2 linked regions of the Alligator mississippiensis genome follow. Each later gene encodes a partner of the first gene's protein in a complex. Links are inferred from orthologs where the notes say so. Each region holds a gene or a part of one and is shown in the gene's direction. Other genes may lie near its edges. The genes, in order: BBS7 and ARL6.

Region 1 (10,556 bases):
GCAGTTCTTTTCAAGCAACACTTGGCTCTTTTACCAAGTGCAGCTGATTGACCTATAAGGTGAAATAACTATATAAGCTTGTGTGGATATTGGGCAATATATTTTTCAGATAATTTTACAGGTATTATCTACAGCTAGTTCAAATTTATGAATCACCTCTCAACAGCCTATTCAGCATATAATGCATTTTGTCGTCTGATCAGTAAAGAGCAGCTTTACAGCCCTGAGGAAGGTTGCAAGTCCTCTAAATTGCAGGTTATGTGCAGTGACACAGTTATTGTGGCACAAAGTGGTAGTACGAGACCTTAATAAGTAAAGGATGGGGAAGGCAACTCATAAGGAATGTGTGAATGGAAAGGCTAGTTATGACTGCCAACATACAGAGTATGTGCTGTAGATAAGTTGAACAAGAGGTTAGTACCTTGTTTGCAATTTAATGGAAAATATTTTTATTTTGGAAGACTTGGGCATTTTGTGGTAAAAAAGCAATATTACCCTCTTTGCAAATTTTGCAAAATTTTAAGTGTTTTCCATTTTAAAAAATCAACACATTTTCAAATAAATATGGCTTTCCAGAAAAATCACAAGAACATTGGAAGTGTTACATGATTTAGGTATGAAAAATTTTTGTTGCATCTTTGAAACTGTTTGAAGCAACAATTTCCTGAAAATGTTTTCATAAGTTCTGCACATCTCCCATTAAGATGCTTCTTGGGCTGAGCTATAGATGAGAGGTAAGTGGATGAGGAAGGAATTATGCTGCATTAGTTTGTCTCAGAGGTGCAACTGGCTGCTTGAGCCCCCTGGGCAGTAGCCAGGCATGGGGCAGTGTCAGTGACTGCACTGCCGGGGATGTGACAGTGGCAGCAGTAGTGGAAGAGGCTGGACTGGCAGTGTAGCTCCACTCTTTTTGTACCTCTCCCTTCCCCCACCTAGGGTTGGCAGTGTACCTGGGCCTGGTGCCCTTCCCCTCCTCCCCCAACACTTCATTATACTACTGCTTGTCCCACCAAAAGCAAAGATAGTGTTGACCTCTTGGCTTTTACAGGCTTGCTGAAGAATTTTAGTGAATAGGATGAAGTTTGTCTAAATGCTTAACTGATTATATAATGATTTTTATCCAACAGCAAATCATGAAAAGACTTATAAAACGTTATGTTTTGAAAGCACAAGTGGACAAAGAAAATGATGAAGTAAATGAAGGTGAGAGACATTGTAAACAACACTTTCTGATACTGTTATGGAGAACCATACTATTATTTATTTTACTAGGTGCACTTAGCACAAATATGAAGTGAGAGATAGTATTTGCTACACAGCATATATAGTGTCAGTGGACAAGATGGATAAAGATGGGAAGAAAGGAAGTATTATTGTCCCCATTGGGACAATACGGGAACTGAAAAGGTTAAGTAATTTGCCCAAAGTCATGCAGGAAGTCTGTGATGGAGCAAAGAAATGGACTCAGCTCTTTTGGTCTAATACTTCAGCCATAAGACCACCTTTTCTCTCCATTTCATCTCAGCTGAACAGGTGGTATTGTATCATGTGTATGATTTGTTTCCTCTCCTCCATAAAACCATGCTGAAATCACATTCAGCTCTAAAGTTCCATGTCTCTGATAGAACGACGTCAAACTAGCTATGTGGTATGCTGAGAAGAGAGAAGCTGTGGTCACAGTTCATCTGTAGTCCAGAGTTCTCTGCAAAATGATCAGACAGATCTTTAAGTATCTTAAATCTTAAACAATTGAAGAGCTGCTCTCCTATTAGGCTTGAAAATAAATTGCTACTATATACCATCTATAATATTTTTTAATCGACAGGAATTTCAGTATGTTTGAGAACCAGTAAAATACTGATGAAGGATAAAGATAAAATATTTGAAAACATTTAAGCCCCAAATTCTAGCAGTAATTAAACAGACAACTCTTGGTGTGTCCTGTCATTGAACTAATAAGTCCCACAGGTGCTGACCGGCTAGAAGTTGCAAAGAGTTGTACAAAAATAACAAACACAGTGTATAGTTCAAGTGGGCATTTTTAACCAGATGCCTATATGTCAGTAGTTGTATCAAGAAAACTAAAGGTATAATCTCATTTTGGTATTTTTTGGAATTTGGTATGTACATACAGACATATCTTCTGCAAAGCAGGAGAGATGTGACAAAAGGATAGTGCTTTGTCACCAAAATTCTTGAGAAAGCACAAATCTTCTGGAACGATTTGCTTGATCATGTATCTGCCTATGGAGTTTAGATCAAGTATTCAGAACCCTGAACCAAGTCAGGAGACCTACTTGTGGTCTCAGCTTTTTCACTGATTCTCCTTGAGTGACCCTGGGCAACTTGTCTGAGCTAAAACTTCCAATTCTTCAGATATAATATAGAGATAATATACATTGTGCCATATTTACCTCATATATTGTGAAGTTTAATTCTGGGTTTTGAAGCATGTGAGATGTAAAGCACTGAGTATGTTATGAATAGAAAACCATCTATAATTGCTAAGTATTATGATTCTTGCAAGTATAGGAATCTGGGGAGTCCACTTAATTTTAAAGTAAACCATATAACAGAACAGCATAGGTCTTATTTTATACCCTACACAACACACATCAAACAGTTTCCTGTTGGGTAGCACATAAGAATGATCAGAATTCATGGCTGGGAGAAGAATGAACCCAAGAAAGATTCCATCCTTGAACTGAGTGCTCTTCAATAAATGAGTGTTGTTGTTGATGATTAATCTAGACACTTTTTGATCATGAAGGTTTCAATTGAAGTGCTGTGTCAGTACTTTGGCAAATTGTAGCAACAATTTAAAAATACTGAATTTTTCTGTTTCTAAGGATGTGTGTGTTATTGAAGAGGACAGTCTCAAGAGATGTGAGTTGCAAGTGTGGCCAGCTCTGCCACACTTTTTCTGTGAGACCTTAGCAAGTCATGCCTTGCTGCTTCTTTCTAAAATGGGGATACTAATACTTACCAGCCTCTCAGCAGTGTTGCTATGATTATTCGTTAACATTTGCAAAACACTTTGAGACGCTAACATGCTCTTTGTACGTACAAAGTACAGTGTCACTATGTTTCACTGAATTATTGAAATTCCAGTGTACTTACGGGCGTCTGGGTAAAAATAGTTCTGAAACATGCATTGCTTTGACAACAAAATTTCATGTAGTGAGTGTTTGATAAACAATGCTTAAAATATTCCCTTCATTAATTGATATAGGTGAACTAAAGGAAATCAAACAAGATATCTCCAGTCTTCGCTATGAACTTTTGGAGGACAAGTCCCAAGCAACAGAAGAACTTGCAATCCTAATACATAAACTCAGTGAGAAACTAAACCCCAATATGTTGAGATGTGAATGATTCTAGAAATGATCCTTGGCTTCAACTACAGCACAACTGTTTATTGGCAATAATATTTCTGAGTATCTTATACTTGAAAAATATATTGTAGATTTTTAGCACTAAATAACTTTATGTAGAGCTTCTTTGAAATTTAACCTTAGGAAATTTTATTAATTTACCACACAAAAATACTCTGTTCATTTTAAATGTACTGAAATGTAAGAACTCTCATGACATTGTTTGCATTTATTCAGCAGGAGAGTACAAATGTATCTGAAGAATTATTTCATTGCTGTATTTCAACAGTTTTATGAACAAACTTTGAAAATTATTTGCACTTTACAATTTGCAAAAACAAAACAAAGAAACATAAATAAAATCTACAGAATGCACTGCATAGTACGCTATTCCCTGAAACAACTGGTATGAGCAAGATATACTATACAAGGAATAACCAGGTGGGCCATGGTAAAGGATTGCTCAAATGTCTTTTATCAATGCTAAGAGTTATAGTTGAAGAATAGGCACTTGAAAGTTTAAAAATAGATATCAAAGTCTGAATATAATTTTAACAACACTGTTTAACATACAAATACTGTAGTTTGTTTCATAATATGGCAGACTGTTTGCTTTCAATGCTGGGGCCTAGAGATCCTTTTTTTAAACAAAGCAACTTTTGAATGTAATGTGAACTGTCAAAAGCTACACTTTCATGTGGTAGAGATGATTTTTTTAAATTCAGATTCTATGCAGAGCTGGTATTTTGTTACACTGTTCTAAATGATGCCTCTGATGCTTACTTGTTAAATAAAAAAATTCATATTTAAATGACTCCTTACCTGGTCCCAATAGTCCAGAACCAGATTTTGGACTGCATGGTAAAACTGTACAGCAGTCAAATATAGGCAGCACTTGTGGTGTCTACAATTAAGGTTACCTGATGTTTCCTATTATAGGACTATTTTTATCAATGAACTTTGCCAGACTTGAACTGCTCGATATTTCCACGCAAGCCAGACATTTTATAATATAAAATTATAATAGATAATAGTTATTTTTGCCTAATGGAAACTTACATATACACACACGTGATGCTGGGCAGATATTTATATATTATTTAAGTATATTATGATATTATTATTAATTAAATAATACTATATACATAGATACATACAAAAAGTTCCTACATGATGCTGGGTAAATTTTTTTTTTTTTATTTTATTTTTTTTTACATGTGTTCCTCATCTTCAGTGGGAGTGGATAACATTAAATGTCTTGGATCTGATTTTCAGAAATGCTGAACATACAATGAAAGCCCTGTTCTGAACACATAAGCCACTGAAAAAATACCTGAAAAATACCAAGGCCCCTCAAACCTAGCATTCAAACTTCATGGGCCCGTTTCACAAGATTCTTGCTAGGCCTTTCATCCCCACCCACAAAAAAGATTCAATACTGCCTCACAGAGGCCATGAGAAGCTAAGAGAATGATTGGGAGAAACCTCAAGACACTATAATGATGACGAGCTCCGTATGAAACCCCCCAGATGGAACTTAATAAGGCAGCAATCCTGGGCACGGATGAGGTTTACTACAGTAAATAAAATGTGGCACCATGGAAATTAAATTAAATCCTGAATTAGCTGCTTACACCGTGCAGTGAATGAGGTGGTGGAGAGGGGCGGGGGGTGCTAAGCTGAGGTTCTCATGCAAACTCATCAGGGAGCGTATTAAAGATGCATTTCCCGACTCGCCCTTGACTTTGCAACCTCCCTTTGCAGCACTGTCTCCATGCAGCGCAGCACGTGGCTGCGGGCCCTCCGCTGTGGGCACAGGTCTCAAGTCACAAAGCCCGCCCTTCCTCTCTCGTTTCTTTCTTTCTTTCTTTCTTTCTTTCTTTCTTTCTTTCTTTCTTTCTTTCCTTCCCTCCCTTTCTTTCTAACCCAGCAGTTTCACCGATGTCAACAGTCACAACGCCCTTTCCTTTTCTCTGTCCGTCTGCCTAACCCGGTGGCTCTCGACCTTGCCAGGCTCCGGGAACCCTTGCGAGATTCAGGGCGCCGCTCAGAAGACGCAGCTCCGAGCTGCCCCCGGCTGGTGGAGAAGAGAAACACCCGGTAGCAGCAGCCCGGCCCCGGCCCCGCCGCACGCACACGCCCCGCGCGGTTCCTCGCGGGGAATCAAGTGACAGGCCGCCCAGCTGGGAAAACCCACAGCACTCCATACAGCGGGCGTGACGCTTTAACCAATCCCACAGCACGTTTCATACTTGCCCCCTCGCCCTGCCCAATGCAAGGCACGTTTGGAGCGATGCTTTATCCAATCCCGCAGCACGTTGCATGCCCGCCCCCCCCTCTCCCTGCCCAATCCGAGGCCGGTTTAAGGTCCCCTCCCCGTCTTTCGTCGTGTTTCCATGGTAACTAGCGCCACCACCTCCGGGCCTGAGCTGAGGGGCCCGGGGAAGCCTCCGCCGCCGCCGTCGCCATGGAGCTGGGCCTGGCCCTGGCTCTGGCCCGCGTGGATTACGTGCAGGTGACCCACGAAACCAGCCCCCGCCCCGCGCTGCCCGGCGGGGCAGAGCTCTTCGCTGCTGCGTCCGGCGCGGGTTGGAGGGTTTTTGACTGGGCGATGCCAGCGCTCTTGCTGGGGCCCAGGCTGGAGGGTCCTGGCTACAGGGTCGGGCTCCTCTGCTGAGGTCCGACTGACAGGCTGCCAGATTTGTGGCCAGGGAGGAGTTTGAATGCCATGGCCGGATCGGTTCGGGCTGTGGGGGGTTTTGCCTCCCTCCGTAGCTGGGGCCCGGGCGGGATCTCCTGAGCCTACGTTGACAGTGTTTCGTAGGAGCAGGCGTTTGGCTGCTGTGGCACCTCGGCTCTGGCAGGGTGTTGGGGCTGCGTGGTGTTGGCAGGGTTTCCTGTAGGCTTGTGCAGAGTTTAGATCGTGGTTTATTAGGGGATGGGTTGGAGAGGGATGGTCCTTCCTTAGGCAGGGGAAGGAGGTCTCTTCCAGCCCGACTTCTCCCGGACACCATGATTTGATTTTTCTTATGCTGCCACTTGCTTTATAGGATCAGCAGTCAACTTGGCAGCAGTGATAGCATCATTAACCACCCCTTGCCTGCTCACAGCTTCTCCTTCCCCATCCAGAATAGCAGAAGTTGGAGTTACAGTCCCTGGAGGGACCTTGTTCAGTTTGTACTTGCTGGATCTATTGTTTTAGGCCGTCTGCATCGTCATAGGATTATTGCAAAGTAGGATCTGGAAGGGGGCTGTGGACCAGCAGGGTTGGGGTGGGCTGTGGCTTGGGAGTGAGGAGCAACAGCATGGACAAGGGCAGGGCACTGGCATATCAGCCCTTTGTGCTGCTGCTGGGCATGGGGGTGAGCCCCATGAGGTGCAGCAACACTTGAGCTTGCAGCTGGGCGGGGTGGGTAGTGCAGTGGGACTCTTCCTCTTTGCTTGGCACTGGGGAGGCTGTGCCTGGAGTCCGGTGTCCAGTTTTGGGCCCCTGCTACAGAAAGGATGTGGTCAAGCTGGGCAATGAAAATGGTTCTGAGCCTGGAACACATGACTTGTGAAGAGAGACTGAGGGAACTGGCATTATTTAGTCTGGAGAAGAGAAGACTGAGAGGGGCCTTAATAGCAGCTTTCAACTGCCTGAAGTGGGGTTTGAAAGAGGATGGAGCTAGACTGTTCTCAATGGTGGCAGATCACAGAACAAGGAGCAGCGGTCTCGAGTTGCAGCAAGGGACGTTTAGGTTAGATATTAGGAAGAACTTTCTCACTAGGAGGGTAGTAAAACACTAGAACAGGGCTGGGATGGCTGAGAGTCAGGAGTGAGGGGCACTGGCAGGGCCAGGAAGCTATGGGCTGGGAGTGAGAGGCAACAGTTTGGTCAGGGCACTGGCATATCAGGGTTGCTCAGCACCACAAATTTGCAGGAGTTACAGATACAACTGAACCTGTGTCCTGGTGAGCAAAGGGGGCAGGCAGAGCTCTGATTTTCAATGGTACAAAAACCAAAATCGAACACCAAAATAAATGGGTACTTGTAATTTATTTTATTATAACGATTGAGGCACTGTTAGGCTTCTAAATTGCTTTAAAATTGTAACTATATCAATAAAACACTGTGTTCAACTGATATGTGTATATAGATATATAGATAAAAATGAAATGCCACTTTTATATATATAAATGCCATATATATATGAAACATCACTTTTATTTATAGATATAGGTATAAGTGGCGTTTCATTTTATCTCAGAAAAAATGTGGATTTTCATTTTTTAATCAGAGAATTTGTTTTTGGTTTTTAAATTGGAGAATTTGTGATTTTTAAACAGAGAAAACCAGGATCGCAGCTCATTAATAACCATCTTTTAATGATTTGATTCTTTCAAGTATTAAATCTGTTTATGCTTGTTTATTTATCAACTTCAAAAAGTTGTCAATGGGACAGGAATTCACATGTCTAAGGCTGCTTGAAGATGTTTAAAAAATAAAAAAGTGGCATTTTACTTTAAACTTGGCATGCTCCTGCACTGAGCCCAGCATGTGCCGGGAAGAGAGAGTGCGTTAGCTGGACCTGGCTCACCCAACCTCTGTATAGGTTGTGTACACTTTAGTGGGGCTTTTGGGCATTTTTATCTAGTAGTTGATTGAATCAGTTTTAGCTAAAAGTGCCAAAAACACCCAATCTATAACAACACTGCAGAGCCAGGTTAGAGTAACGTGCTGCTGCTTCTGGTAAAGTGTGCTTTTGTTTTGTTTTTTTAAGGTCTGGAAGCAGACTAAAACAGTTGCCAAAACTGGTAATTAGATTTGTTCAGCAAATGCAAAGCAATGCAGCTTTCAAGTAGTTGACCAGTCTACTATGACAAGTCTTTCTGTATCAGAATTATGGCACATCTTTTCTGTTGTGCAAGCAGTCTTGAATTTGTGGATAAATGTGTGTGCCACATATCTGGAAATAGTCTCCAGAGCTGTTAAAAAGGCTGGTACTTTTACAAACACCAATACATGAAAAATGTAGAATAAAAAGGATGGAGAAAGTACAGAGGTTAAAGGTGTACAGTGTTTAAAGGTGACATTTAAATATATCTGTGAGTTCTATGTCGTAGAATATTAGGGTTCAGCGTTCAGGTAGTCCCAGCTCACCTGTTGTATAACTCTGGTTAAATAGAATATTCTCCACAATGTATATAACAAGAAAATGTTATCCCTAAGACTTTTTTTTTTGAAGTGTAGAAATTGGAATGTTTTCCATAATGTGGTGATTTTTTTCAAATAGGTGGGAGTGACATCTCAGAAGACAATGAGGCTCCTGCCAGCATCAGGACGTAGGGCAACACAGAAGGTAGTGATTTTCTAGAAGTGAAGAGTTTGTTGTTTCTAAATTGTTCGTTTTGTTTTTTCTTACAGATTAATGTTATCAATGCAGTACAGATTATCTTTTGACCTCTACTTGGGAAATTGAACACATTTTCTCCCAGTTCATGCTGTTTAAAGATTTGCTGATACCCTTGTTTGTTTGGTGGGCTTTTTGGGCTGTTGTTTGTTTGATGTTATTAGCTAAGAACCATTATGGAACATGAGAGCTTTTAACAAAATGTTCTTGTAACTACAGGTTTATGATTTCTTTGTGGAAAGAGAATATTGGAACAGGCAAACTCTGGAGAAGCAATGATGTATTTTCTTTCGTAAATTTTTGGTAACAAAGAAATAATACCGTCAAACACAGGAAAACCTTTTTTTTCCCCCAAAATGCTTTTGAACGTTTCTGTTGAGTGATAGCTGGACTTCAATCAACAATTTTGAAAAAAAAATATTATTAACTTATGGTAGTAAAATAATTGTTAAATATTAGATTCCTGAATTATAGGACTGTATTAGTCTTTATAAAGTGCCCTGTCATGCCTTATTAACATCACTTAGTGTGGTGTTTGGTAATGGTTACTTTCTGTGCTACAGATCCACATAACTAATATAAAGAAAATTCTTCCTTTTAAAAATATCTATAGGAGGAATGCAAAAATAATTAAGCTACTTACACGTTATATTTTTAAGGTTGTTATTGGAGATCATGATGGCGTAATTACATGTTTTGGCATCAAAAAAGGAGAAGCTATGGTAAGTTCAGCTATTTATGTAGTTAATGTGATTGTTTGTGGTATGTAGGTTTTTTTTAATCCATTCCCAATCAGGAGGCACTACTTCACTGTCAGGGCGGCTAGGAGCTGGAAGCAACTTCCAAGGAAAGTGATGCTTGCCCCTACCCTGGGGGTCTTCAAAAGGAGGCTAGATAGCCACCTAGCTGGGGTCATTTGACCCCAGCATCCTTTCCTACCCATGGCAGGGGGTGGACTAGATGATTGGTTAGGTCCCTTCCGACCCTACCAGCTATGAAACTATGAATAGTGTACATAATAGCAATTAAAAGCCAGCTGGGGTTGAGGAGAGGAGAAAGGTAATGAAGATACATTAAGATACAAAGCTGAACATCCTATGTTAGTGGTTTTATCCCAGAATATACATTGTGACTTAAAGTGACATTTAATATTTAAGTGACTTGTGTAAGCTAATTACATTTCAGAAGCCTTAGACTTGTGGACAGATGTCCAGCTTACTTAAACAACTATAATGACATGTATCTTGGTTGACCTTCTGGCTAATTGAAAAGAATTCTATGACCATGGAAAGAAAGATTTCTCATTACTAGAGGTCATTCCCCTGGAATAAGAACGTAGTATTTTAGTGGGGTACTATTAGGAAGCTTGCACTGCTGCTGATTGTACTGCACATATTATATGGATAAATAGTAGTTAACTCTCATATCTTCTTTATGTAACCTTTTCAGAAAATAAAGTTAACTTATTAAAGACTGATATCTTATTTGATATTACAGAGACATGAGATTAATAATAAGATTTAACTAGGTGCATGTTATGGAAATCACTGGAATGATGCTTAGTGTCCTGAAGTGGATTTGGTGTCTTCTGAATTAAAAGAAGATTGTAAGTGCAATATTTAGATACTTAAATGTCACTTTCCTTATTGACTTTCATAGCCAGTGTTCAAGACATTACCAGGGCAGAGGATCACAAGGTTGGAGCTGGGAGGAGCTCTTAATACACCGCAGGAGAAAATTTTTCTGGCTGCAGGATCAGAGGTTAGAGGTTTCACAAAGAGAGGGAAGC
Region 2 (9,825 bases), on another chromosome or scaffold:
ATAATCTGATTTGCAAAATATTTTACAAGTAAACAGTGGCCTCAGCACTTACACTTGTATTTAGTGTTACAATTAACACTTGTATTTTGCCATTGCTTCCTTTCCTCTTACAGAGATATATTCAACTATTGACAACTACCTGTATCTAAAATCTTCACCTTCATTCCATACAAAAGGGTTCCTGGGTACTGTACCATTGATTCTAAACACTGAACAATGTTGTGCACGGTACTATAAACAGAAAGTAAGATCTACTGTTTCTGAGAAACTGAACATTTTACAACTGGCATAGGTGTTTTCCTCTTGGGAATGCCTCACAATTTAAAACAAGCTTTCTTCGTGCTATCTGCCTCCCATATATGTTCCAAATGCATTTTGTTTTCTCTCTTTTGGTCAACTTAAAATCATGCAAGAGGAATAATTGTGAAATAAAAAGTTTAAGTTTGCAAGGTGCAATCCCAAGGGGAATGTAGGAACCTACCTACTTTACATTAGAAGTGAAGTTGTTCACATTTACTTGAAGGTGGTATTATTTCCCTTTTTTGAAAAAAAAATCTATTATGATGATAATATGATGTTCCATGTAAATTTCCATGTGCTGGCATGCCTACAAGTTGATAGTGTAATAGAACGCTCAGCTCTCAAAACTAGGGGGTTTTTAAGATGAATTGCATTACATATGCCATCTATTTGTGGAAAGAATATGGGGTTTGGCAAAGCTACCTGCTGAGCAACATAATAAGATTTTTGTACAAAGTACAAGTTACTGATTATTATTGTATTTTATTTTTCTATGATTTCCTAAGAGGCATTATCAGGGCTTACAGATGCGGTAAGCCTGTTTATTAAGATATTTATTAGCAAATAAAAGTTACAGTACTGGTGGTTATGTTTGAGTTGATGCTTTTTATTGTACCTTAATTTATGCATATGCTATGCAGCGCAGCCTGTCATACATGACCCTGAGGGGGAAAAAACACAGTTGCCTAACATATTAAGGTGTTCTAATAAAGATGGATCAGCACTGCATTCCATGTTTTGAGATACTTCAGGGTGGGGGGTTTCTTTTTCCTTATAGCAGGAGATGCATTACTAGAGTGGACTCTTGTATACCTTTCCATATAAATTTTGTGCTCAGATAAATGTCTTTACAAAGTACGCATATTGTTGATAATGTTATTAGAGAACTATGCATACAATAATGATGCTCAAACTGCAGCAATCAGTAGGCTCTATTTCCATAACATACAATCTCCTGCATAAGAAACACTACTTATCTTCATTGGAATACTTTTTCAGTATGCTATTAAAGCTCTGTAACAGGGCTGTCCATTTTCTATGTAGCCTGGGGCCATTGGCTGTGCAGGCCACACACCCATGGCCATGCTAGGGTGAACCCCAGGCCACACACTGCATGGGGCCTCTTCCCACACTGACTGCACCATGTATGCTCCCCGCCCCCTCCGCCCCTGTTACACTGTGTGCCTACAGTTACCATATTTCCAGTTTCAAAAAAAAGGGACACCTGTGGGGGGAGGGGGTATAATATGATTGTGGGGGGCAATGATATGCCCCTGCCCCTACCCCTCACTCCCAAGCCACAGCCTCTCCAGCCCTGCTGGTGTCTATCACTCCCAACCTGCATCCCCCTGCTCTCCCCAGCCCTGAAGCATCTCCTAGCTGCCCTGGCCCTGCAAACAAGGGCACCAGCCCTGGTGCCACCAACCTGGCAACACAGCTTCCTGATGGCCCCAAGGGGTCCTCGCCCAGTTTTCCCCACTAATGGGGCAGGCACATCCCCCAAGCCCTGCTGCAGTCCCAACACCCAGACAGCTTCCCCCAGTGTTGGCAGGCACCCGCCTCCTGCCTCCCCTCACACACCTACCCCCTCCACATACCCTGTCGTATGCATGCACATACACACACATGCACACATATACACACAGTCCTCTGGACAATCCCCAAGCCCTGGCCCTCCAACCCTGACCCCATAAACCTACCTGCATGCAGATGCCAGGGCTTCTCCCACCACCTTGCCTGGCTGCATGCAGACTGCATGCATGTGTGCATACAGATGCACATGACACCCACTGCTCCCCCCAGCCCCAAACAGCTCTTTGCTAGGTCAAGCTAGGAAGTGCCAGGAGAAACTATGAAGCTGAGCAGAGCAAAATCCCAGACATTTTTTTAAATTAAAAAAAACTGCCTGGACAGAGATGGGAGGACCCAAAAAGAGGAAAACCCAGATGTATAGTAAACTAACTGTGCCTGCAGCTCCAGGCTCACCCTCAGCTCACTGCCGTGTCTCTTGGGGCAGGGGTAGTCAACAGAAGCTGGAGGGAGGAGAGGGAGACTGGAGACTGGCTGCAACAGCAGTGGGAAGGAGGGGCAGCAGCCAGGCAGAAACCAGGGGCTGCATCTTAACCTAATGGGGGCTGCTGATTGAACAGCCCTGCTCTATAATATTGGTGAGCCTACATAACCTAGGTCTTTGAGAACAGGTTTACACTAACAAATGCTATTCGTGACCCCCCTTCACTCAAATAGCAGGACAGACATGACTTTCCAGCAGCACAATGGCAGCAGGATTAATCACTAACAAATATAACTTGAATATAGTTATTGCCTTATTATTCAGAAAATGCCACAGCTATACACACTGCTTTATAACTGGTAAAATGCAAACAAAATACTCAGTCCCTGTCTCCAAAAACTTGAAAGGTAAAAGTAAGAACTTCTTGTATATGCAGTATAAAATGTAGTGATGTAACTAAGGAATGGGATGCTGGGTTTCTACAGCTAAACTGGCAGTCCTAAACCAGGAAAATTCCTAGAATAAGGGCTGTAGGATTTGACCCATGAAGCAGAATGAACAAAGTGAGCTTTGCCTTAGAAGTTCTGATTGCAGTGAGGCCTTTGGTCCCATTTTTTTTCTTCTGTGTGTACGGAAATATAGATGCAGACTAACTTTAATCTGGAAACCAGGAAAATTTCTCTTGCACTTAAACTTAGCCCATATGCTGATTAGGTTTTACGTTGTTACCAGCTCCTGTGATCTTTTCACGAGGCTCATCATGATGGTTCCTTTTTTAATACCTCAGCTTCCTAAATGAAGTCATTATGGGTGAATATCAACTTCCATTAAAACACAGCGATTGGCCCTCCCAGTTGCAGACGGGAGCATGAATATGTGACACCCCCCCAAACGAATAACTCTGAAAACCTAACAGAAAAGAAAATTAAAAGAACCCCAAAGGTCTGTGGGCTTCACATAAAATGTAAGAACTGCCATATACTAGGTCAGACAATATGTCCATCTTGTCCGGTATCCTGTGTCACACTGTGGTAGGGAGTGGATGCTGAAAGGGAGAGTGAACTAGATATGTCCAAGGTTTTTTCCACTGTTCCACTCTCAGTTGCAACCTCCAGCATTTAAGGTCTAGGAAGTTCTGATTCACAGGCTGCACCCCTAACCCCCATGCTCAGTAGCTACTAATGCCCCTTTCCTCCAAGAATTTGTCCAATCCCTTTTTGAATCTGGCTAAACTGTCAGCTTCCACAACTTCTGATGGCAATGAGTTCTACACTTTAATTACATCCTGTGTAAAAAACAGCTTTCCTCTGTTAGTTTTAAATTTACTAGACACATCTACACATGCGACTAATGAACACAAAGAAACCCCAGAGCTTATTGGTCCAGAGTTTTTTGCTCCCAGGTACACTGTTTGAATCTGTACCTGGGAGCAAAAAAATCCAGAATATGTTTCTCCAGAGTTTATTCATGTGTAGCACATAGAACCCAGTTGGAGCAACCCAGGCTGGCAGGGAACCCAGGGGGTCAGAGTGCCAGCCAAGGACTGGTCCAACAGGCCTCCATGTGCTGCAGAGCAGCTGGCTGAGGCATGAAGGTGCTTCACTGTGGGGCTAGCTGGCAGGCAGCCCAGGGCTGGCTGCTCCAATGGGGATCCATGTGCTGTGGAGGGGCTCACCGAGTCATGAGGGTGCTTCAGTGCAGGGGCTGCCCGCTGGCTAGCCCCACACCAAAGCACCCTTGTATCCCAGCAAACCGGGACAGTGTCTACATGTGAGCTGCTGCACATGGAAAGACTCTGCAGCAGGTTACAAGTCCTAACCTGTTAATTTGCTTTGTGTGCCGTAATAGGGGCACACAGAGAGGCTCTGAGATCTTTACGGAGCATTTAATCAGTCAACTGCACAGTGAACGTCTCATGTTAACATGCCCCTAGCTACTAGTTTCATTTTATGACCCCTAGTTCTTGTATTGTGAGAGAGAGCAAATAATAAATCCCTATTTACTTTCTCTTTGGCATTTAGTATTTTGTAAATGCTTATCATGTGCCCACTCAAATGTCTCTTTCCTAAACTGAACAGTCCTAGCCTCTTTAGTCTCTACTCATATGGAAGCCCTCCCCCCCATACCACTAATCATCGTTTCTAAAGAATTTTTCCAACTATTTAGTTGGTCTAATAAAAGATATCCCATCTACGCAAAGCACCTTGTCTGCCTCCATTCTTAAGCCAACACGGCTACAACCAACAACACCTTAGATGTGGAAACTCAGTGGTATTTGTACAACGTCCAGGAAAAAAAGCTGTACTTTTAAGTTGCTCATCCTGGAAGAAGGAAACTTTCCACGTGTCACACACACAGGCTGTCTTTGCCTGCATGCTGTAGGTTTAAGTCTTCTTCTCCACCGTGGCTAGTCTGGAGTTACCACAGCATATCACTGTTTTTCCCTAGATGCTATTCGTCTGTTCAGTCTCCCCTCAGACACTGAGCACCAGCCAGGGAGGGACAAGGGAACACTGTGGCTACTCCCCCTCTTAACACGGAGCTTCCAGGACACCTGTGCTCTCATTTATAGACCTGAAAGCTGCTCACCTCTGGCAGCTGGGGCCTGGCACAGGGGCAGCCAAAAGTCTAGCTTTTGCCCTGCTCCCCTCAAACCGAGCATGCAATTCTCCCCTCCCCCTGCCTCTATGCAAGCTGGTGTGCATCACTGGGTGGCTCACCACTTCCCTCCCCATAGCGCTGGCAAGCTTAACACTGGATGCTTGTCTAAGAACAGATGTGGGGTTGAACCCGGGACTGATTTGACTCGCATGAAAACAAGGGCGGTGGGGCACAGTCCTTTACCCAGGCAGCTTGCAATAAGCCACCATGAGCAAGCGGACTTCATGTGGGGACTTCAGGTGGGGCAGCACAGAGTTGGCCTCTCGCTGGTGGAGCCCAGGACCAAAGGAAGGGGCGTGCTGCTAGCCTTAGAGGCCGACAAAGTTCTTTGGGTAAACCCGGTATCTTTTATGGAACCAACTAAAATAATTGGAAAAATTCTTCGTTGCAAGCTTTTGGGCGCAAACAGACTTCTTCAGAAGCAGAGCTTCCCACCAGGTCCAGCTCCAGCCCCAGACGCCCCTCCTGCAGCACAGGCACACAACGCCTCAACGGCGATTAGCTGTGAGTATAGAGGTGCTTGGGACCACGGCGGGACTACTGCCTGTAACCGCGAGCTTCGAGGAAGGGGCGGGGCTTGCAGGCAAGGCGAGAGACGGGGAGAAGCGCGTCGCGTCAAGGGGCGGGGCTTAAGGCAAGGCAGCGGCGTAGTCTCCTAGGTAACGACGCAGGCGGCGGCGGCGAGTGTGGTGAGTGTGAGTGTGAGGGCGAGGGCGAGGGGCGCGCGCTGGGGTTTGTTCCCCTTCTCCCGTGGGCCGGCCCCTGCTGACCGTTACCGGCCCCCGCGGGGGGAGGGATGGGTGCGAAGCTGCCCGGTGCCGCCGCCGCCTGCGCTCAGTCTCGGCCCCAGGGCGCTGCGCTGCGCTGGCGGCTCCCTCGCACTCGCCCGGCCTGCCCCCCTCACCATCCCGGGCCGAGCCGCGGGGCGGGCAACCACGCCGCTGCCCGCAAATCCGCGTGGGCGCAGGCCCAGGCGCCCACAAGCAGCCCCACACAGACCCATGCCGACAGCCGGAGAGACCCCACAGCTGCCCACCTGGACATAGGCGTGCCCCAAACACCCACATAGACATGTCCACAGACACCCACACAGGTGCCCACAGAACTGATGTGCCCACAGACTTCTACAGACAGCCCCACAGACCCCTGCATAGACACCCACAGAGAGCCACCCAGATGCCCTCAAACACAGACACACACATAGATGTGCACACAGACAGATTGCCACGCAGACCCCCTCAGACACATGCCCACAGACACAGACCCACACAAATGCCTACAGACCTGCACAGCCACAGGTGCCCCCACAGCAGCCTCTCCTTTAAACTTCCCACGCTGGCTAGTTCCAGGTCTCTCTGCCTCCCCTCCCCACCCAGCTTTCCAGCCCCTTGATCCTTTCTCTTCTGCATCCTTGTGGATCCTCTTCGGTTTCTATACAGTCTTCTTCCACTGCAGAGAGCCTGCAAGTTATAATGTGGTCCTTCAGCGGAGGCCAAGCCATTCCCTTGCCTTGCCTAGCATACTTCTGTTAATATGGCCCACAGTTGCCTTCTCTTTTTTTCATTTTGTGCATGCGACTGTTGACTCCTCTCAAGTCAGCCCCTGTCTCACCCCACCCCATCTTGTGTGCCTGTGTTTGTTCTCCCTTTAATGGGAGCACCTTGAATGTTGCCCTACTCAAATTTCGTTCTGTGCTATTCACAGTATCTGAGCACCTTACACACAATGATTTTTATCCTCAGGATAACCCAGGGAGGTGATGGTTATTACCATCTTGGTCATGGGTGCTAGAGGCACAGAGACATTTAAATGCCCATTTGGGGCGCCTGCTCTGAGATGTCCTGCCCATCAGTGACTGAAGTCATAGCTGAGTCTGCTATTCTCCTTCCTTATCAATTTGGGGAAATCTGCCTGCAATAATCTCTGGTTAATTTGCCAATTCAAGTGGGGAAAAGCAACATAATTAGTGTTAGGTAGCAAGTTTTATGGTCCAAGTAGGTGTTCCATCAACTACAGTTGAAGCTGTGAGTTCTCATTGTTTCTGCCAATAAAGTTGGTGCCCCAAACTCCAATATGAAGTTGGTGACCTTTTGCAACAAGGTACAGTTAAATAACTTGTCTGACATCACTTAAACATTCTCTGGCAAAGGCAAAGTTAACTTTCTAGGTAACATGCATGATAACAGTGCAGAGAAGTTCCACATTCAACAAATAACTTCTCTGAGGTGAGGCTGCTTTTTTATCACATGATAAAATGAACTTCTGGCATGTTACTGTTTATCATGCAATTCTCATGTTAATCGCACAGTAAATATAACATCTGCCACGGGCATGAGGTAGCGATCTTTTGATCTGACCCTGAAAGTACCCTTTCTCATCCAGTGGCCCTGTACCTAATGCACTTCCAACTCTGTAGCAAATGCTGTGAGGTCCTACAAAACAAGCTTCTTTTACTGTGGGCGCATCTACATGAGATGCTTTACTCAAGATTAGCACAAATTACTGCACAGTAAGCATCACTGTATACATATGCAGACGCTTACTGCAGAATTGTTTGCACTATTTGTGAGTGCATTTGCTACCTGTAAATACAAGTAGCAAATTTTGTTTGCAATTACTTATTGCGCAGTAGCAAACATGTAGATGCTGACCGGGAACAAATTTGATCCTGGTCAGCCTCACCACTAGAAGGCCAGCCTCAGCCTAGCCCTAGGGCTGGAAGCCTCTCCTGCCCCAGGGCTGAGTCAGCTCTATTCCTACCACAGCCCCAGGCCCTTAAGAGCCTGCAGGGACACTGGGACCCAGGGACACTTGCTGTGACCTCTGCTGGCCACCATTTCCCCCAGGACAGACCCCAGGGCAGCTGCAGCAGCCTGCCAACACCCCAGTGCTACTCCCTAGCACCATATTGCCAAGGTTACCCCATCTAGCTGCACAGGGAGCTGCAGGCACCTGCAAGGCCTGGGAGCACCTGGGGCTACCTGCAGCCAGCTTGTGGCCACTGGGTCCCACTCCAGCTAGCCCCAGGTTACCCACAGCAGCCTGCCTGGACCCTGCACCTGGTGCTTGGCACTGCCTGGCCCATGCACCAGCCTGTCCTACACTGTGCCCCTGCACTGCACTGCACACCCATGGCCAGGCCTGGCAGCACCAGGACTGGCACATGGAGGCTCAGCAAGCCATCGTGGGAGCCATTCTGGCATCCTCCCTGGCCAAAGCCTAAAGGCTCATGCCACCTCCTAGGGCCCCAACTGGTCCCAGGAAGAGACTGCAGACCTTGTGGTGCTGCGGGACAAGTCTGAGGTCCTCAGCAAGTTTGCATGGAGCAGTTGATCCAACATGCACACTTTACAAAGGGCTGTCAGGTCACATTTGGGAGCACGGACACAACCAGTTAGCATGTCAGTGTCACACAAAGGTCTAAGTCTTGTGGGCACAGTGGGTCACGGTCACTGACCACAGCTGCCAGGTGGGGGCTGTCCACAAGTCCATGCCCTTTATGCGGCAGCTGGATGAGATCCTCACTCCCTGGGACCTTGGCCGCAGCTGTGCCACCTGTTCCAGTACAGGCGGCTTGCTCAAGCCTCCTCTCAGTCCAGCTTCACCAGGGTGACCTGGCACTGGGGGAGGGCCCCCCTGACCTGCCAGGGGGCCATCCCACGACACTCCCCACCCCCAACATTGTCGAGCAGCTCTGGGAGCCTGGGCCAGCTCTTGCCCTGCCAGCTCCGCGGCCTCAGCCCCATGGTGGTGCCATGGTTGCCCACAAGGCCAGGGCAACCATGGCACCACCAGCAGCTCTAGCTTCTCCCTGGAGAGGGCCTCTGCCCATGCAGCTAGATGCCATGGCCCTATACCCTAGGACGCTGCCAGGAACTGCATGTCCTCACCGCCAGCAGGGATTGACCCAGGCTGCCGGGCATGCCTGCCACATCCACATCATAAGCCCCACAATGGGGAGAGGGCCATCCCTGCCCTGTCCCGCTTCCCCACCAGGCCTGGCCGCACTCCCCTGGCCCCAGGTTCCCCTCCCCCAACAGCACACAGGGAGGCAGGAAACAGTGCAAAACCTTATTGAGCAGCCTGTGCCTCCACAGCTAAGTGGGCATGGGCCTCTCACATCCCAGGAATGTGTTGATGCTGGTGGCAATGTGCTCCGTGGCTGCTGGGGGACAGGGACATGTAGTACAGCCACAGGGAACCCTCCAGGTGGCAACGGAGGTTGTGGGGCAGCAGGGGCTTTCCTGCCACGCCATCAAGACTCATGTGACAGGACGGGGTCTGGGCGGCAGTTGTGTGGCAGTGAGGAGGCCTGGGACGGCATGGTGAGCCAGGGCAAGGGGGCACTGGATGTCCCTTCCAGGGCTGGGTGGTGAAGCAGCCCTGGTGCAGGGAGGCAGAGGCTGCAGTGACAGCTGCCGCATGCTGCTTCTGTCCAGAAAAGTGGCTGACCAGATAGGGGGTTGCCAGATAGGGGGTATGGGGTTGCCTTTTGAAGACAACTGCTGGCCACAGGCAGCTGCAGCTAGAGCCTTCAGCTCCTGGTGGCGAAAGGTGCTTGGTGCAGGGCTACAGGGACTGAGATCAGACTGCTGCCAGGAGCAGTAAATCTGCTCTCGCATCTCTGCACAAGTAGAGGCGGTTTAGAGTAAACTGATCCTGCATTATTTGCACATGTACACGCACCATATGTTCCTTAGTCACTTCCATTGAATAAGGAGTTTGAAAGCAGAAACCACTGTACAGATCCACTTTTCCCCTTCAGGTATGTCTCAGTGGTTCAAGGCAGACCAAGTCTGTATGGTGCTTATATGTCTTCAGGGTTCTGCACATGCCAGCTTTAGAACTGG

What was found.
Region 2: the proteins of BBS7 (region 1) and ARL6 are in contact, whole or in part, in a cryo-EM structure (PDB 6VBV), measured with the Bos taurus proteins. The link is inferred for Alligator mississippiensis from reciprocal best matches to the Homo sapiens genes BBS7 and ARL6. Residues at the interface, in NP_001178275.2 of Bos taurus: Leu3, Ile249, Val250, Gly251, Asp300, Gly301, Tyr302, Asp303, Thr319, Glu320, Pro321, His323, Lys324, Glu325, Ser326, Gly327, Pro328; in NP_001069250.1 of Bos taurus: Met132, Asp133, Arg135, Thr139, Ser140, Val141, Ser144, Trp157, His158, Ile159, Cys160, Ala161, Asp163, Lys166.

The regions. Positions count from the first base shown.
Region 1 is NC_081825.1:114,624,683-114,635,238, reverse strand, and holds the start of BBS7 (Bardet-Biedl syndrome 7 protein), read left to right. Parts: upstream 1-5,773; 5' UTR 5,774-5,841; coding exon 5,842-5,889; intron 5,890-8,650; coding exon 8,651-8,716; intron 8,717-9,426; coding exon 9,427-9,489; intron 9,490-10,426; coding exon 10,427-10,556. Other genes in the region: TRPC3 (short transient receptor potential channel 3), read left to right, coding at 1,128-1,203, 3,233-3,375.
Region 2 is NC_081824.1:266,179,540-266,189,364, forward strand, and holds the start of ARL6 (ADP-ribosylation factor-like protein 6), read left to right. Parts: upstream 1-5,597; 5' UTR 5,598-5,664; intron 5,665-9,825. UniProt on the Homo sapiens protein: Involved in membrane protein trafficking at the base of the ciliary organelle. Mediates recruitment onto plasma membrane of the BBSome complex which would constitute a coat complex required for sorting of specific membrane proteins to the primary cilia.